Drosophila melanogaster: one gene and its partners. The protein of the gene in region 1 interacts with the protein of each later gene in a pairwise test. Each region holds a gene or a part of one and is shown on either strand. Other genes may lie near its edges. The genes, in order: Arpc3B, Ppcs, CG11327 and CG44837.

What was found.
Region 2: the proteins of Arpc3B (region 1) and Ppcs interact in a two-hybrid assay, tested with the Drosophila melanogaster proteins (one large-scale study listed by BioGRID).
Region 3: the proteins of Arpc3B (region 1) and CG11327 interact in a two-hybrid assay, tested with the Drosophila melanogaster proteins (one large-scale study listed by BioGRID).
Region 4: the proteins of Arpc3B (region 1) and CG44837 interact in a two-hybrid assay, tested with the Drosophila melanogaster proteins (one large-scale study listed by BioGRID).

What each region holds. Positions count from the first base shown.
Region 1 is NC_004354.4:17,104,047-17,107,741, reverse strand, and holds Arpc3B (Actin-related protein 2/3 complex, subunit 3B), read left to right. Parts: upstream 1-1,889; 5' UTR 1,890-1,966; coding exon 1,967-1,972; exon of another isoform or gene 1,973-2,085; coding exon 2,086-2,259; intron 2,260-2,755; coding exon 2,756-3,100; 3' UTR 3,101-3,171; downstream 3,172-3,695. Other genes in the region: CG4991 (uncharacterized protein), read right to left, coding at 3,657-3,695.
Region 2 is NT_033777.3:19,144,880-19,149,608, reverse strand, and holds the start of Ppcs (phosphopantothenoylcysteine synthetase), read left to right. Parts: upstream 1-1,698; 5' UTR 1,699-2,348; coding exon 2,349-2,474; intron 2,475-3,684; coding exon 3,685-4,128; intron 4,129-4,729. Other genes in the region: CG5835 (uncharacterized protein), read left to right, coding at 1-374, 448-571.
Region 3 is NT_033779.5:6,684,296-6,688,287, reverse strand, and holds CG11327 (uncharacterized protein), read left to right. Parts: upstream 1-1,575; 5' UTR 1,576-1,725; intron 1,726-1,788; 5' UTR 1,789-1,793; coding exon 1,794-3,221; 3' UTR 3,222-3,446; downstream 3,447-3,992. Other genes in the region: Tsp (thrombospondin), read left to right, coding at 1-1,034, 1,091-1,224, 1,293-1,363.
Region 4 is NT_037436.4:11,935,866-11,940,760, reverse strand, and holds the start of CG44837 (uncharacterized protein), read left to right. Parts: upstream 1-1,888; 5' UTR 1,889-2,061; intron 2,062-2,253; 5' UTR 2,254-2,420; coding exon 2,421-3,788; intron 3,789-4,841; exon of another isoform or gene 4,842-4,895.

The DNA of each region.
Region 1 (3,695 bases):
CTGAATGGAAGGCAGCGAACGAGCCAGTGAACGCAAAAAAAAACAAAACAAAACACGGCGAAAAAGGTAAATAAACGCACGAAACGCCGACGAAGGGACTATTTACAAACTCTCATCGCTTTTGAACGGAATTCAGCAACGCAACAACAGCAACTACTCAAGAGGACAGTGTGACCAGCGCGGTAAGAGTTATAAATATCGCAAGGCATAAAATAATACCATGTACCATATACTAATTTGTTCAGCGAAAATACTACTGCTGTGCCGCTATAGGAATTTAATATACTTTATTTGATCTCAATCTCGATCTCAATCAAACCATACTAATAGTTCTATCGATATTAGTGTTCCTAGTATTTTGTATTTACATACAGCTTACATTCGCCCTACCTGGCTTATGAACGACCTCGATCTTACTATCTATCTACAATGCTATGGTAAGGTTTACACCGTTTTTCCAATATTTCAATCTCGCTGGTTCCAATAAACTCTTAAAAGGTAACTGCGTTAGTTGATAATCATCTACATCAATTTAATTTTTAACGGTCACTTTCAAACACTCTACTTTCCTTGTATATTTATTTGTACATGGGCCGCGATATTTAGGTTCGAATTTTTTATTAACTCCAGGTGTTGTATCAATATTTCGTAGAGCTTCAAAATCTCGAAATTTATATTCCAAAAGGGCTTTATTTTTCTTCGCATTATATTGCTCAATATTATGTTGTGAGTGATGGATATTAACATTAGCATTTAAACTAACAGTATCTAGGTCTGTTTGCTCTAAATTAAACGTGTGCTCAATATATTCTGGCAATTCGTCAACTATATGGCCTTTTTGGCTAACACCAAATAATTGAATACTATGTGATTCTTTAATACTACTATGAATAGTAATGTTAATGGCAAACTCTAATTTATTTAAGAAGTTACGGCGTTGCGCAGTTGAACTATAGTCGCGTCTTCACCAAAATAAACTTTTTTTGATTTTAATATGTCAATTATATCGGGTTTTGATTTTTTAAGAATAGCACTATATTCCAATGTATTACTGCTTTATTATTGTTGTCTTGGTCTGTAACAATCTTTTTAAGTATTTTTATTCACGATGTTTCTCTTTAAAACAATTGATTTAAGCTCTTCGATCTCGATCACACCATCGTTTGTTCTTCAGACTATACAATTAGTTCTATCGATATTATGTTATCGATCGATTATATTTTACCTAGTATTTTATATTTATACACAATTTACAAACTTCTTATCTATAAACAATCAACTGTGTCGACCATCGAATAATGTTTTTAATAGACGTAATTTGTATTTTCAAAGTGAACTGGAACATGTGAAATAGTTTGAGTGTTAACCCAAATGTGTCTGGGCACACTGCTTTCGCCTTTGTAACTTACCGCCAAAGTTGAAGCTTTTCATTGTCGCGCGAAAAGTTGGAAACGTTCAATTAATTATTTTTTAATAAAAAAGCTATATTATATTATATTATATATATTGTATATTAATATATATATTATATATATTCGATTGGGGACCTTATTACAGTTGTTATGTTCATTTCTTTCCTATTTTTTATCTATATCTTTCCCATTTTTAATTAGCAAGCGCAACAAGTTCTAACCGAAAGAGCCAAGTCCTGTTAACTCCATTTCTGCATTGATATCAATTTCATATGCAACAGAACTAAAATAAAACGACGAAAACTGAGACGTACTTGCACATTTATGTGGGAAAATGTCAGCTTAAATGATTAAAATAATATCTTTAGAAATGTATATTTTCAAAAAATACCAAATAAACTCGGAACGAACCAGTTCATTTTAACGCCAATGGGTCGTTTATTCAACTTCAAAAAGATAACGTTTTCACATCACTAGGAAGTTCTGATATATCATATATTACTATATTTTTCGTTTATTTTTAACTTTTGAAAAACAAGACAGAAGTCATTGAAATGCCGGTGAGTAAAATACAACCGAGGTATGCAGCTGCAGATGGGCAGTTTCTTAACATAAATGTACATTAAACGCATTAAACCCTTAACCTGTCCATTTGTTTACATGGTTCGCACAGGCATTTCACTCGGAAATAGAGGATTTCCAAGCCTCGGTGGGGAATATGGCCCTTCTACCACTACGTACCCAAGTCCGAGGACCAGCGCCCACTGTTGATATTCCCAACGACATCATCGATGAGTCACTCTACTTCTGGAAATCGAACATTTTCTTCCGCACTTACGAAGTTAAGGTTGGTGACTGGACAAAGAAATGAGCATAGAGATAAAGCGAGGCGATATTCTAATTTTTAAAATGAAGATACATTAAGAAGACGGCACAGCTTGTTAAATATTTCGAAACAATCTTAAAGCCCTAGTGGAGTCAATTTTATAATGTTAAAACCAAGTGCGTTATCTCACCGCCCTTATTTGTAGAAATATGTCGTTACAATCAGCCTGATAAGAGTGAAGTTATTTGTTAAATTTTTAGTAATACCCCTTTCTTATATGGTGTTCCAAGAGTTGGGTATTTCTACATAATGAAATTATTTTTTTGGAGCTTGGAATTTTTTTTTAAAAGTTCAATAATAGCTTATAGCTTATATAGCTTATATTACTATATAGCTTATAGCAATAATAGTCTTATCAATTATGATATCATTCTTAGAATATTGTTGCTATGTTTAAACTTTTAAAATTACTTTTTAAAAAACCCCTATTACCCATACATTGTATATCTAATCGCAGTCGGAGGTGGACAGGGTGCTCATCTACATAACGCTCTACATCACGGAATGTTTGAAGCGATTGGCCCGATGCACAAGCAAATCGCAGGGTCAGCAGGAGCTCTATACGCTGGCCATCTCGCGGTTCGATATACCCGGAGATGCGGGATTTCCGCTGAACGGAATATACACCAAGCCCGAGGATCCGGAGCTGATGCGTCAGTACTTCCTGCAGTTGCGCCAGGAAACCGGAAACAGATTGCTGGAAAAGGTCTTTGATACTCCGGATGGAAAGCCGAGCAAGTGGTGGATATGCTTTGCCAAGAAGAAGTTCATGGAGAAGAGTCTTTCGGGACCGGGAATGTAAAAGACTCACTAATATACTGCCGATCTTAGAGTATTTACCACCAAAATTTACGAATAAACTGCTTTGAATGTATTAAATTCGTTGTTGATTTATGTTTATTGATTTATACGCTCTCAAAAGCGCATATTTTTCACTTTGTAAAAGAACTTAGTGTTAAACATTGTTGGCTGAAGGCTAGTTAATACTTTATACATATATATTTATAAAATCGATGAATAGCATTTATTACATACATATGGCTTTAACGATCATTTGCAGGCTCTCACACAATCAAAGCCCTATTGCTATGGTAATCAATTATTAAAATGGGTTATAGCTGCAGATCATGTTTTTCCTTTATGCCTCCTTTCGTTTTTGTGCCAAATAAACATTTTTTTTATACATACAAACAAAAAAAAAATATGCACAGCTTAAAACTATCAACAAAATAATAATAAAAAAAAGAGTGGAAAAATACACAAATTAATCTTACATCAGAACAGGACAACGCATTCACATAGTTCCGCGGAATGACAGCATTATTTATGTACAAAATATACTTGCTAGCTCTCTAAGCCTACTTAAACTCCTTGACGATCTCCACGATGCTCTGGTA
Region 2 (4,729 bases), on another chromosome or scaffold:
GAGGCGGAATCGGAGGAGCAGCAGCGGCGGTCATATCCCCACCGCGACGAGGACCAACTGAACTCGGCCACCAATTTGGTTTTGGCACAGAACTACAAGTACGATGTGGAGATCCTGGAATCCGGCGATGCCGACCAAGACGACAGTAGCATGGATGACGTGGACGATCTGGAGGAGCGTTTCAAGGGACGCGGTGTGATCTTCAGCACGGACACCGAAACCTTCGCCAACGAGAACATCGAGATGAGCCCGCTGAACGTGCAGGCGGATGCGGTTAGCCAGGGACACGTGCTGCTCGGCATCGTGGTGGTGGCACTGGCCTTGGTCTCCATCGGCCTGTACGCCGGCCTGGTCATATGGCGCTCGCACCTGGAGTGAGTTCTATTGGCTAATTGCTCTAATTTTCAGAGTGCTAACTCATTTACCATCTCTTTTCACCATCATCAGGCAGCGGTATGGAATGCGCGAACGACTGGTCAATCACGACTTGGAGGATGAAGCGGCTGGTGTCGACGACGTCGATTATCAGGTCTATGCGCCAACCACGACGGCAGCTACGCCTAGGGCGTAGTCCGTTTCGAAATCTGGTCCGATTCGATTCGATCCGATACGACGGTGGGCTTCAATTGGACCTGGTTTCGGTTTAAAGTGCACACTCACCACACAATTCAGACGAGACGACGACGATGGCAATTCATTGCAGCCTCAGCTAGGATGGTGGTGGAGAGACGGTGCTCAATCGTCTAATGTATGCCATAAATTTCCACGACAAGCTGAAAAGCATTCCGCTTCCCAATTACACTCTAATGGCGTTGCTAAAGGTCACGCCGATTTCTAACAGCGCAGTTGACAAGACCAATTAGTTAGTAAGTTTCTGTGATATTGTTCTAGAGATTCTTTTGTACGTCCTTGCACTAACAATACGCATAGAACCCACGTTGCTAATCGATAATAAAAACTATATGTAAATGTAAATGAATATTTAACTTAGGCGTCTTTATTTTGTTGATGGTAAATTCCTGCAAGTTACCTCTTTCACAGCTGCTTAAGACTCTGTGGTTTTCAAAATACTGGAATTATTTAATGGATTATAAATGAATAAGCAATTTAAAAATAACCAAAACATGTTATCTGACTTGATTCATTTTGAGTTTTATTGGATATAAATCTTCACAAGCCTTGTTTACACTTAACACACTCAGGTAAGCCATTAAATTAAAAATAGCCACACAAAGAACGAGTTACACACCCAATAAAATGCAGTAGTATAAGGTATTTTTGGAGTTAACAATTACATTGCTTTTATTTGTTATGCATTTATTCTTTCTTAACCCTAAAATAAAAAAGGTTTCCCTTTAAAAATTGAAATAATTTGTTTTCGTACAGGTATTTATAGCTCAAATTTGAATTTGAATTAGGCGCGTTTTCTTAATTAACAACACTGAAATAATATCTAAAGCGCAGCCAACTTTGCTCAGATAGCTCATGGGTACCACAAGACTAAGAACTAGTTCACAAATATGAATATTCAACAAAAACACCTTCTGGCTGACAGATAACTAGGCAGAAGTGGTGGTCTTTCTTACTTATTAGCTAAATGAAACCTTTGTATAGCTTCCTTAGAACGATACATGAAAAACTTAATCTTGACAAGCAACAAGTTTGCTGCATGCGCCGGAACCAGTCAGCAATGCCTCCAATTCGTCCCTGTCCAACACTGCAATCAGCTGTTACCTGGCCAACGCGTTTTTTTTTTTTGGCCTGCACTTTGAACCCCGAGGTTTCGTGCGAATAAAGATACGGATTTGAGTGCGCCTGTCCACATTCCCGCTCGTCCCGCTCCGCCATCCATCGCTGCCTATCGCATTTTCGGTTCAGAATCCCGCGGACCTTGCTGCCGTGCACATCGCATCGCATTTCCACAGCTGCGTTTTTCAGCATTTTCGTTCGCTCTCTCTCTCTCCGGTTTTTCAGAGCGCTCCGTTCCGCTCTCCCGCTCGCGCGCGCTCCCCTTAACGGTTCCATTGATAAGCAGCGCCACCCGCAGCCCCTGCCCCGCCCCCCTGCCACGCATATTCCGCCCTTCGCATTTCGGAAACTGCAAAAAAAAACCAAACCAAAGCAAAGCAAAAGCAAATCAATCAATTAAGATAGTACGCCGAATAGTGCAGTGCGTGTGTTAATTAATTTTGGTTGCCATTTCGCACATTCTGTATTTATTAATTGGCAGTGCATAGCTTCCGGCGGAAGAGGGCAACTTTCCGTTCATTTTCGAGCTTCCGTTTGTCGGCCAATTAGCAGCAGGTCGACAAAGAAAAAGCAAAAACAAGCGTAAAGGATAAGCCAACATGACGCACTGGGAGGACTTCTACAACACGCACCTGCCGCCCGCGGACTTCGAGGACAATCGCTCCCTGCTCAAGGAGTTCTGCGAACGGCACAACAAGCTCCAGAATCGCATCGTCCTCGTCACGGTGAGCTGGGATGATCCAAATCCGAATTAGGATTAGGATTAGCGCTAAATAACCACTGTACTCCGTTAATTAACTGCCCAAGCTGGTGAAAGCTTTCATGGTTGAGCCGAGCGCCTGGGGCATTAAAAACAAATGTGTAAAGTGTGGAAGTGAATAAATTTAAATTGGCTAGAACAAAGTTCGTAAATGTTAAACACATGCAGGGGCGCATGCATAAACAATTAGCATTTTGTGAATGGAGAAAACAAAAGTTGTTAAGTGTTTTTTTAACATACTTTAAAAAACCAAAATCACCTTTTTTTTGTTAGTTTTTAATTTAACATTTTAGAAATTTAATCTTAGTTAAGTTTCACTTTAAGTTAAGTTTTCCACTTTAAAATGCTGCTATGCGTAAATAATATATATTGCAAATATCTGCAAGTCTTGCAAATACTTGATTCGCCTCCTAAAGCTCAAAGTTAAATATGAAATTATGTGGGTCAACTGGTGTTTATTCACTGGGGCCAGCTTAATCCGAACATGATTTACGCAAATAGTTAACAACGAGGCACATTAGTTTCTCTCTATAAGATTTATGGTCAACTTGCTGATTTATCTGCCTGATTTGAATAACTAAATGCTGCCAAATATCTTGGATTTGTTCTAAGTCATTGGATTTTACATGAAAGGGACTTGGTTATTCTAATTTGTTTTATAAGAAATTATTGTAATGATTTGCACAAAACTGTTATTGTGCCTATAAGAAAGGATGTTAAAGGGGAGAAAATACATAAGAAGATACAAAACAAGAGAAAACTAGTCGAGTTACTCGGCTGTCAGACACCCAGTACTAAGAAGAACATCAAAAATTTATATTTGATATTAGTAAAAATGGTTAGAATCTGCATATCTAAACTTAATTTTGCAGATCTGGTAGTTACCAGGATCACAGCGTTCATACGGACAGAAATACGGACAAATGGACGGACATAGATTTCAGCGATTCTAGTATGCCCTTTCAACTCTACGAGTAAAGGGTATAACCACCACGAGCATTTAACCCCAGTTTTTGAACATGAAAATTTAATAGAGAATAGAATTTAAAAGTTGCTTTAATTGCAACATAACGATTAGGAAACAGAATAATCAATATTAAATAGGAGCAAAGAAAAAATACCAAAATGAACCAAAATATTTTCTAAAAGAACCCTAATTTGTTCAACATTTCCAGTCCGGTGGCACCACAGTTCCCCTGGAGCACAATACGGTGCGGTTTGTGGACAATTTTAGTGCTGGAACGCGTGGCTCCGCCTCGGCGGAATACTTCCTCGACCACGACTATGCCGTGATTTTCATGCATCGCCACAAGTCGCTGGAGCCCTTCACGCGCCACTTCACCGGCCAGCAGTTCTTCGACATGCTGGACATTGCGGACAACAGCCAGAGTTCGACGATAGCCATCAAACCGGATTCGGTGGACGTGTTTGCTCCGGTGCTGGCCAAATACAAGATAGCCCGCGAAACGCAGATGATCCTGTACGTGAACTTCACCAGCGTGGTGGACTACATGTGGCTGCTCCGCGCCGCCTGCGAGTGCCTGGCCGCCTTCGAGGAGCGAGCCGTGCTCTACCTAGCCGCAGCCGTATCCGATTTCTACATACCCGAGGACATGATGGTAAGATGAGACTACGGACGATGCCGGATGAGGCGGGTGGGCGGTCATGTGGGAAATCTCGTAATTGATTGCGCTCCTCACTGCGACGAGTGCGGAATGAGTGAGTGGAAATTGGTTTTTATCGATTCCCAAAGCTGCACTGCGGCAAATTAAGGATGTAGTACTTAAAAGTAAGGCCATGGCATAGTGATTGTGAATTCGTATCGATTTTCAAAGCAGCAACTACTAGTTGACATTGCAAAAGCGTCAATCATTTTGATCCTGATTTTGCTGATGCATGGAATGTATGTATGTATAATGCACTTTAAAGCACCATTTCCTGGCAGTGTGTTTCTAGTTGTTTTCGCTACCCTTGTGCCTGGTGCTCCTTCCGATTCCCGGTCGCTGTGCAAGTCCCCGGTCTGTGACACATTTCCTCTCCACATTATTGACGTTCGACTGGGCTAAGTCAACTATGGCTGCTGCTGCTGCTCCTCCAGTTCCTCTCTAGCTTCCTCCAATTCCATCCACTGGCCAGCAGGAGCCTTATCACAGGCTGTCAGTGTCACTCACGCTGGCCTTGTGGCCTTGTCCGCCAGCAGCCTTAACATTGTCATCGTAT
Region 3 (3,992 bases), on another chromosome or scaffold:
AAGTACAATCCCAGGCAGTTGGACACGGACGAGGATGGACTGGGAGACGAGTGCGATGGTGATATCGACAACGACTCCATACCAAATGCGCTAGACAACTGTCCGCTGCTGCCGAATCCCAGTCAGTCGGACGTGGACAACGATGGTGTGGGCGACGCTTGCGATAACTGTCCGAATCTTCCGAATCCCGACCAAAAGGATCGCGACATGGACTTTGTAGGCGATGCCTGTCACAGAGACATCGACGGGGATGATGATGGAGTTCCAAACTCGCTGGACAACTGCCCAATGGTCAGTAACTCGGACCAGCTGGACACTGACGGTGATGGAACGGGCGATGAGTGCGATGACGACATGGACGGAGATGGGATACCCAACTACAAGGACAACTGTCCGCTGGCCAAGAACCCAAAGCAGGACGACTTCAATCGGAATGGCAAGGGTGACTCTTGCGAAGATGATGAGGACGTAGATGGTGTACCGAATGGCATGGACAACTGCCCGAACAACTCGATGATTCATCACACTGACTTTCGCACTCTTCAAACCATTCCACTGGATCCCAAAGGCCTATCGCAAGCGGATCCCAACTGGGTGGTACACGCCAATGGCACCGAGATAGTCCAGACCCTCAATTCGGATCCGGGACTAGCGGTGGGCAAGGACGCCTTCGGAGGCGTTGACTTCGACGGCACCTTTTATATCAACGATGACACGGACGATGACTACGCTGGCTTTGTGTTCAGCTACCAGAGCAGCTACAAGTACTACGTGGTGCAGTGGAAGAAGGGCACCCAAACCTACTGGGAGCCACGACCCTTCACCGCCTCTGCGGCGCCGGGCATCCAGATCAAGCTGGTCAACAGCACCGAGGGTCCGGGCCCAATGATGAGGAACAGCCTGTGGCACGAGGGAAACACCGACGGTGAGGCCAGGCTGCTGTGGAAGGATCCGAAGAACATTGCGTGGAAGGAAAGGACCTCCTACCGCTGGTCCCTGGTGCATCGACCGGCCATCGGCCTCATCCGCCTGCAGTGAGTGATGGCACCATGACAGGGTTCCCATGTCTTCATTCTCCTTCTACCCACAGAATGCACGAGGGTAACCGCCTGATCTTCGACTCGGGCAATGTGTTTGACTCCACGCTGAAGGGCGGTCGGCTGGGCGTGTTCTGCTTCTCACAGAGGATGATTATATGGTCCAACCTGCAGTACAAGTGCAATAGTAAGGGAAATCGAAACAAAGTGGTAACTTCAACTGAACTAAACTTTTTTCTATGCTTTTCAAAACAGATCGTGTGAAGCCGCTGATCTACAATGATCTGTCCGACTATCTCAAGACGAAGGTGGAGTTGCAGGACTGAGGGGAATCGCAATCCTCAGAGCCATTAACGTCTTTTCTGCCATCAATTCTAACCAAATTATGTATTAATGCTACCACTAAGTTAATAAATGAGTTGCCAATCCAGTTGGCCATTGGAGCCGCGTTTTCCAACACAAAAATGAACTGAATCAAGTTGGCCTGGCTGCACGTGAAATCAGGAGACATTGCCTGTCAATCCATTTAGTTCAATTGCCACAGTTAGGCGAACACACTTTCGCTAGGGAACGTTTTGATCACCGAAATAAGGGAAAACCCATGTTGAAAACATTGATATAATATTTCACGGATGTCGAACTAGTTAACCAGGTTAAATTCAGTCAGTCTTGCGTAAATTTATAAAGGGTAAGTTGGAGCACAGTGCTCTACCAAATTGTGCTGACCTCATTCATTTATGCGTCCAAATAGCCACGATGGCCAGCCGCAATGTGCAAGCAACTCCATCCCAGGAAGAGCTGAAGCGGACTGAGAACAACAAGAATGTGAAAAACTCCGAAGAATGTCAATCAATGGAAAACGATGTGGACGCGGTTGTCCCATCTTCGTCGGAGAGTGAGCTGCGGCCTCGCAGTTCGGGAGTTAGGCCCACTAAAATTCCGGCTCCACTTTTCTTGGGACCCAGTGCCAGCAGCCGGATCTACAGTTCACTGATGCCCGAGAGAAAGCGACGCTCCTCCATGGAAAGTCAACAGATGGCCGACGATTCTGGCATCAATTTGGATTGCTCCACGGACGAGCAGCAGACTACGCTGTCGGCCAGACCGAGTCCAATGCTGCAGCCGATGCTCGACAGGATTCCGGACACTAGCAGCGAGTTGGAGCTCCGACTGGCAGAGGAGCAGACTCTCAAGGAACTTCAACGCGTCGTCGCCGAAATGGAGGCTGATGTGGCTTTTAATAATTTAGATATGCAAAATCTACTGCCCGATGATATTGACCAGGATACACAGGTGCAATATGACGCCACTGATGTGGATACACAGTTGCAAAATGAAGCCTCTGATGTGGAGAATGGTGCCGAGTCTTCCGGACTAGATATGGAACAGCTGACAGGAAACGATATTCAGCAGGAAACACTTCCTGAAACACAACCCGAAGAACTTATACCAGGAAATGTACAGATGGTGGAAAAAGAAATTGCACCGAAAGGGGAATTTCCAGAAATAAAGGAAACTGCCGTGGAAATAGAATCTTTAAAGGAATTCGAAATTGTCCAGCATTTGGGCGAAGAGCCAATAGATGAACACACAGAGATCGTCCAAGAGACCCCGCAAGATCCTACAGACGTAGAATCCGAGAAATCTGTACCCGAATCGGATATGGAGGAACTCGAAACGTTAATTAATGAAAGTAGCGAGTCCGAAGAGGACAGGCTTGTTCGTGAACAATTCGAGAAATACCCTGAAACATTGGAGCCCATGTTTCATCCAACGGCGGATGAGATTGTGTGCATTGACTCGGTCCCGGAACTGGCCGACCATCCCTCACTAGATGGGTCGGTGCAAAACGGTCGCGAGATGGTTACTTTGGATGAACTATTTGATCCGGAGTACAATGTGCACCTAATGCGCCAACTTTTGCAGGCCAGAATAGAAGAGAATAGCGAAGTTGAAACAGCTCCAGACTTGATAGAAAGTGAGCAAGCGGAAGAAAGGGAGACGCTGACGGGCCCGGAGGCGGAAATCGATATGGAGGAGGAAACGGATCCGGACCTAAAACAAACTGGCAAGCCCTTGAGTTTCTTGAGGCGTCTAGTCAACCACAGAATCCTTAAGCTTAGCTATCCCATATTGTTCTGCAGCTTGGCTTTCAGTTTGGTCTATATAATTCGCAAGGAGTAGAAGTTCACTATTCTAGAAATGCAAATTGGATAATGCGAACTTGCGAGAGCATACGTTTCACTACGGTATATCTTAGGAAACACTTCAAAATCGCCCGACGCATTGGCATAGTTGGGTTGCTTTAAATATCTATTTTCCAAATAAATATCCACAATATCACGGCCGCACTGTTTGTAATTTGTATAATTTGTATGTATATTTGAATTAAAGCGCCAATTACTTAACATTCTTTTTGAAACGAGCGCTAGGTGGCGCCTTTGTCAGGTCATACTCTTGTTGGCTAGGGCAGGGTAACGGTTATCGATAACCGGAAACTGCACCTGCCCGTTTACTGTTTTCCCGGAATAATTACCGATGGAGGAACGGCGGAATTCTAAACATGGGGAATTTTTTATTTATTTTTTTTTTTTTGAATGTATAGAGGAATCGTGAAAAATAGCAATGATACGAACTTACAGATCTAACTATGTCGGTGGGACACGGAGAGACTGGTCGGCGGGACTAGTACTAGACGACGGGAAAGAAAATTAATAAATGAAAAGGCTAATTTGACGCAATTCCCGGAATAATAGTTTTTACTTGGAAAATAGTTTGGGATTATTGCAAGTTTTAGTTTTACATAACTATTATATTGAATACAAATATCTTTACTGAACCGCTCCTGTTCAAAGGCAATATTTTTTCGCGTGCTAGCGTGCGGTCACACTGCAGTCGCATACGGTTGTTTCCATATGAACGAACAAACTGTTTTTTTAGCGGAGTGCGCTGCTG
Region 4 (4,895 bases), on another chromosome or scaffold:
GAATTTCTATTCAATAAAGTTCGGTGGCTTGGTTGGGCTCGCAACTTGTGGCGCAGATGTTCCCGACCTTCCAGCCAAAGTTCGTTATTTGGTCAAGGAAAGAGGTCCTGTTCGAATTCGACTCACTGGCTACAGTGTCCCCATAAAAAAAATTAAACGCAGACCTCAAACAGAATGGCTTGTTGCAACTTTCACTTGTTTTCGATCTTGACTTCTGACATCCTCTGTGGCAGGGATTTGCCGTCGAGGACATGGGCGTGGCTGGCCAACATGTTCACGAAAAATTATGGCTTGACTCCGACATTGTTGAGCCCTTCACGGGCCAACTTTTGGTTCTCTTTCCAAGTTATTAAGCTTTAAATAAAGAAGAATCCTTTTTAAATTGTTTAGACAGCAAAATTCCCACGGGAATTTGCAGTAAGCCAATGTTTCAAAATAATTATTTGTTGGCTTTACAAGACAATAGGAAACCACATTTTTCTGTTTTTTTCTTAATATTTAAATATTTTTAATTACCACAACGCCTTCACATTTACGTGAAAGGTTTAAATAAAACCAATTTAAACGTCTATTTAGTAGATATTTCCTGTAATTATTAACAAATAATTGTTGTGCCATAGAAAAAATTTAATTTATTATAAGAGAACGGCAATTAATATAATTATATAATAATTAATTATTCCTTTGCCTGCATACTAAGATTAAAATAAGTCACTTAATGGAGCAATGGATATATATCCACAAAGTTACATATATATTTTTGTTTTTACGAACGTCCCATCGATCCGCTTTTTGTTAATCATGTGAGTCCTCGTATCTGAAATATGATTTGCATATGGATGCCGGATGTGCTAATGCAAATTTTTGACCCAGCTTGAATTTCATTAACACGATTCGGGGGATTCAGCGGTGCACATACTTACTTCCCCTCCGTGTTCCGACACTCAGCCCATCCGATGCTTGATGGCCATACATCAGGATGAAGGATGAGCACTTCAGAGTATGTGTGTGCCATGAGCAAGTACTTACATATGTACCCAGGTACAGGTGTGCAGAAATGTGGCCGTGCATTGTAATGTTAAGTTACAAGAAATGGTCACACTACAAAAAAAATTTTAATGCGTGGGCCGTTTCATCTGTACAACTAAAATATATCATGTTTTCTAGCTATTCGCACATTGATTTTTTAAATAATTTATATTGAATTTAAAAACATAATATTAGATATCACACTATATTTTTCTGAGTGCTGGCTTGGGGGTCGGTGAACATTTTGAGATGAGGTTAACAAAAATGGCTATGTGTCGTCGTCCTGCTGACTGCGAAATTGCTTTGGATGCCAAATGAATGCACTTGCATATTTCATTGCCGCCCCGTCACCTGCGGTATCACCTTTGGGCCAACTCTTTGCCCCAAGTTGGGATAACACCATCATAAAACAATAGACTTTGGCTTTGTGGCCAGGAGCAAGCGTAACTTTGATTACCAAGAAGAATGTATGCTATTGAGTTCAATAAGAAAAGCCCTGTTTGGTAAAAATGTTTTAAGGTCTGTTAAGGCATAGCATTAAAACAAAAAAACGCTACTTTGGAGGTTAAATTCTTTTTATTGTTACATGATTCCAATGGATATTTGTTTTATATTTTATAGTTACTTTTTTTCAAATAAGTATTACAATAAAATATCTTTGCATTAACATGGACTTTACATTACATACTGTTAACATGGCGACCCACTGCCATACTTTTTTGTTGGGCCAGGTCACTTACGATCCACAGCATCCATCCACTGGGGGGTACTCCTTGCGGAAACTGTTGCTGCTGCTGTTAGCAGTGCCGTTATAAAGTAACGGTACCGCAGCACTGAAGAGCCCAGTGTGTTGGCAGCGCCGCGTGGCAACGGTAATTGAATTGAACCGGGTAGCGTTAGCGGTTTTATCCAACGGAAAATGTGACGGAATATTGGCGGGATTGACGTGTTATAATTTATTTGTTTTAGTTTACGCCGTGATATTGGAAAAGCATAACAAACATAACATTGTTAGTGAAAGAGTAAAAATAGGTAGCGTTTGGAATCCGATTATTATATCTACTATCTTATCATTTACTTTCACTTACATAATAGAAACGTTATTTTTTGTATATTATATTTATTACTTAGCTTACATTATTTTACTTGCTTTCAATATATTATATGTACATATAAGTTGTACCTCCTTTATAATGTTATATCCTTGAATACTTGAATACTTAGGCCACCAAAAATGTGTTTATTTTCATAAATATGCAAATTAAAAGTAAATAGACCAGAATAAGTGCTAATACTGAAACATAAATAAAGATGATTTGCGTGTCATTACTCAAATATCAACTAAAATTCGTGAAAAAGAATTAACAATCCATGAGTGACTAAAGGGAACCATGTCTTCTGGCGAGTGGGACCTGCGTGCTTTGAAGGCGCTGGAGGAGGAGGAGCAGCGCGAGTTCCTGGCCCTCAGCCAGAGAAACCTCTTCGATCCGCTGCCGAATCCCTCACCGGATGTGCCCAGTGCGAAGCCTTCACTAACTTATGCCCAGCTGCATCCTCACCTGCTAAAGCTGCCGACGATCGACGAGTGCCAGCTGATGGCCGTCAAGCAGCAGAGATCAGCGGCTCTGCGATTCAGTCGCGCCCTCTCCTTGTCCGCCCACTCACTCACCTCGCGAACCGGAAGCGCAACGGCAGGCGGAAGTGGCCTGGGCTTTGGCCGTAAACTGAAAGCCCGCTTAGTGGGCGCGAAGTCGAGTGGCTCACTTTCGCCCGGTCGGCACTCGCACAGCTACAGTGTTTCCCCGGTATATACGCCGCCGCCCATGAGAAGATGTGCCACCTTGCATCACACGCAACCGGTGCGAAAAGTCTTTAAAAATCTCCAACAGCTGCAGGAGCGAAAACGTCAGGCGGCTGGAAGTCATCTGCAGAGGATCGCTGGCACTGGAAAAACGTACTGGAAGTACGGAGCCAATTCCACGGCCGCCTCGATAGTGGGCCAACGTGCACGCCAAAACCAACAGATCGAAGTCGAGGAGCCCAACGGTTCGGATGAGCTGAACTCGGAAACACAGGAAATCTCCGAGGCGGAAACGGGCTCCTGCAGTGTGCCGCTGCCGTCGAAGGACACCAATGAAATACTCCGCCTCATGCTCAGTGCGGCCAGCTCGGCGGTAACTGTGACGCCAACGGCGGCGGCCATTGGTAACGGTAACGTGGCCGGAGCAACTGGTGGCGCCCCGCCAATGCGTCGCTACCAGAATGCCAGCGATGTTGAGGAGGACGAAACTGTTGCGTACGGAGCTTTCCACCAGGCGGCCAAAAGCTTCGAGCGCGGCGCTCTCCTGCGAGTCGGCAGCTTAACAGCCCAAGAGAGCGATAACAGCAAAGTTAATGCCATTAGCCCCAGTCCACAGAACAGTCCCGCCAGGGAAACACAATCCACAGCGGTGGGCGGAACGGGTGGCAGACGTGTGTTCAAGTCCTGCTCATTCGATTGGCCCGGGGAAGCGCAACAGCATCTATCCCCGCAGCCACATCAAGCTGCAAATCCTGTAGAGCTGTTGGAGCAGCAGGGAAAGGACATTCGCTTTCGCCAGAGGGATCACTGGGATCTCGAGCATGCCCACTTCCATCACGAGGCACTTGGACACCTAACAACCAGCACCACCGTCATCGATGACGAGCTGGAGCAGCATATCAAGCACTGTTCCTGCTCCTGCAACCACATGGGCTATGGCAACTCAATGGACTATCAGGTGAGTGAAAACTACGTTCAAAAGAGATTAATACAAATAAAAACTGAAAACAATTTCGGTTGAATAAGAAACATATGATTAACAAATTGTAACTTTCGAAGCTTATATTGTCTATTAATGTCGGTCTATTGTTATACCATCAGTATAGGAAGGCAAATGGCTTTAGTTATTGAAATTTTAGATATTTTGCAATTAAGTGGAATGCTAATTGTTTCCTGTTTGCCCATTTAATCCAAAACCGCGTCAAATTCCCGCCGTGCACAGCCCTTTTACAAGTGATGGCGCCGTGTAATTTTAATTGCAGCAACTATATCTGCAGTGCGGGTGTCCGGCAATTCAGGTGAATGGCGGCACATTCAGAGGGCCTCCACTTTCTATCCAGCTTTTAATGCACTCTGGCGGAGATTCCAATACACAGGCATTTCCCAAACTCATTATCAGCGAGGCCTTTTGTGGACATTCCGGGTTCACGGCTGGATTGGTCCTGGCAGATTGCCGCCTGGAGATCGCCCTGGGGCACTGACTCTGCCATTGCCAAGTGCTCCATTGTCTGGCTGCGAGTGGCCCGCATGGGATGGGTTCAACTTTTAAACTAAATTGAATACCCCTTTGAATCCGACAATGAGCTGGATGCCTGTTCTTGCCGGGATTAAGCTCACAGTTGGGTTTCTCGCACCCTCACATCGTTATTGTCTGTAATTGTTAAGACGATTTTAGGTTTAATAGCTGCCATTTCAAATAGAGTTGGAGTCTGTTGGCTGACCCCTCGAAAACTCAAGACTTTATCTTTTGTTTTACCACAAGGATGCAATTGCACACTCTATGTGGCCCTAAGGGGTGTGAGACTTTTATTGTGCAATACTCAGGAACAAACGGCCTGGGAAACTTAAAGCATGACAGGAGTCTTCAACTAGGAAATATTTTCTCGGTTAATAATGCACTCTAAAGAACTTTTAAATACCATTGTATGTAGATGATGATGTAGATGATACCATTGTATGATGAAATGATTGCCTGATAGTTAGGACCTGAAAAAATGAATTCTAGCCATTTGCATAGTTTGATTACGACTTTATAGGAGATTGTTTACAGCGTACAGATAGTTCT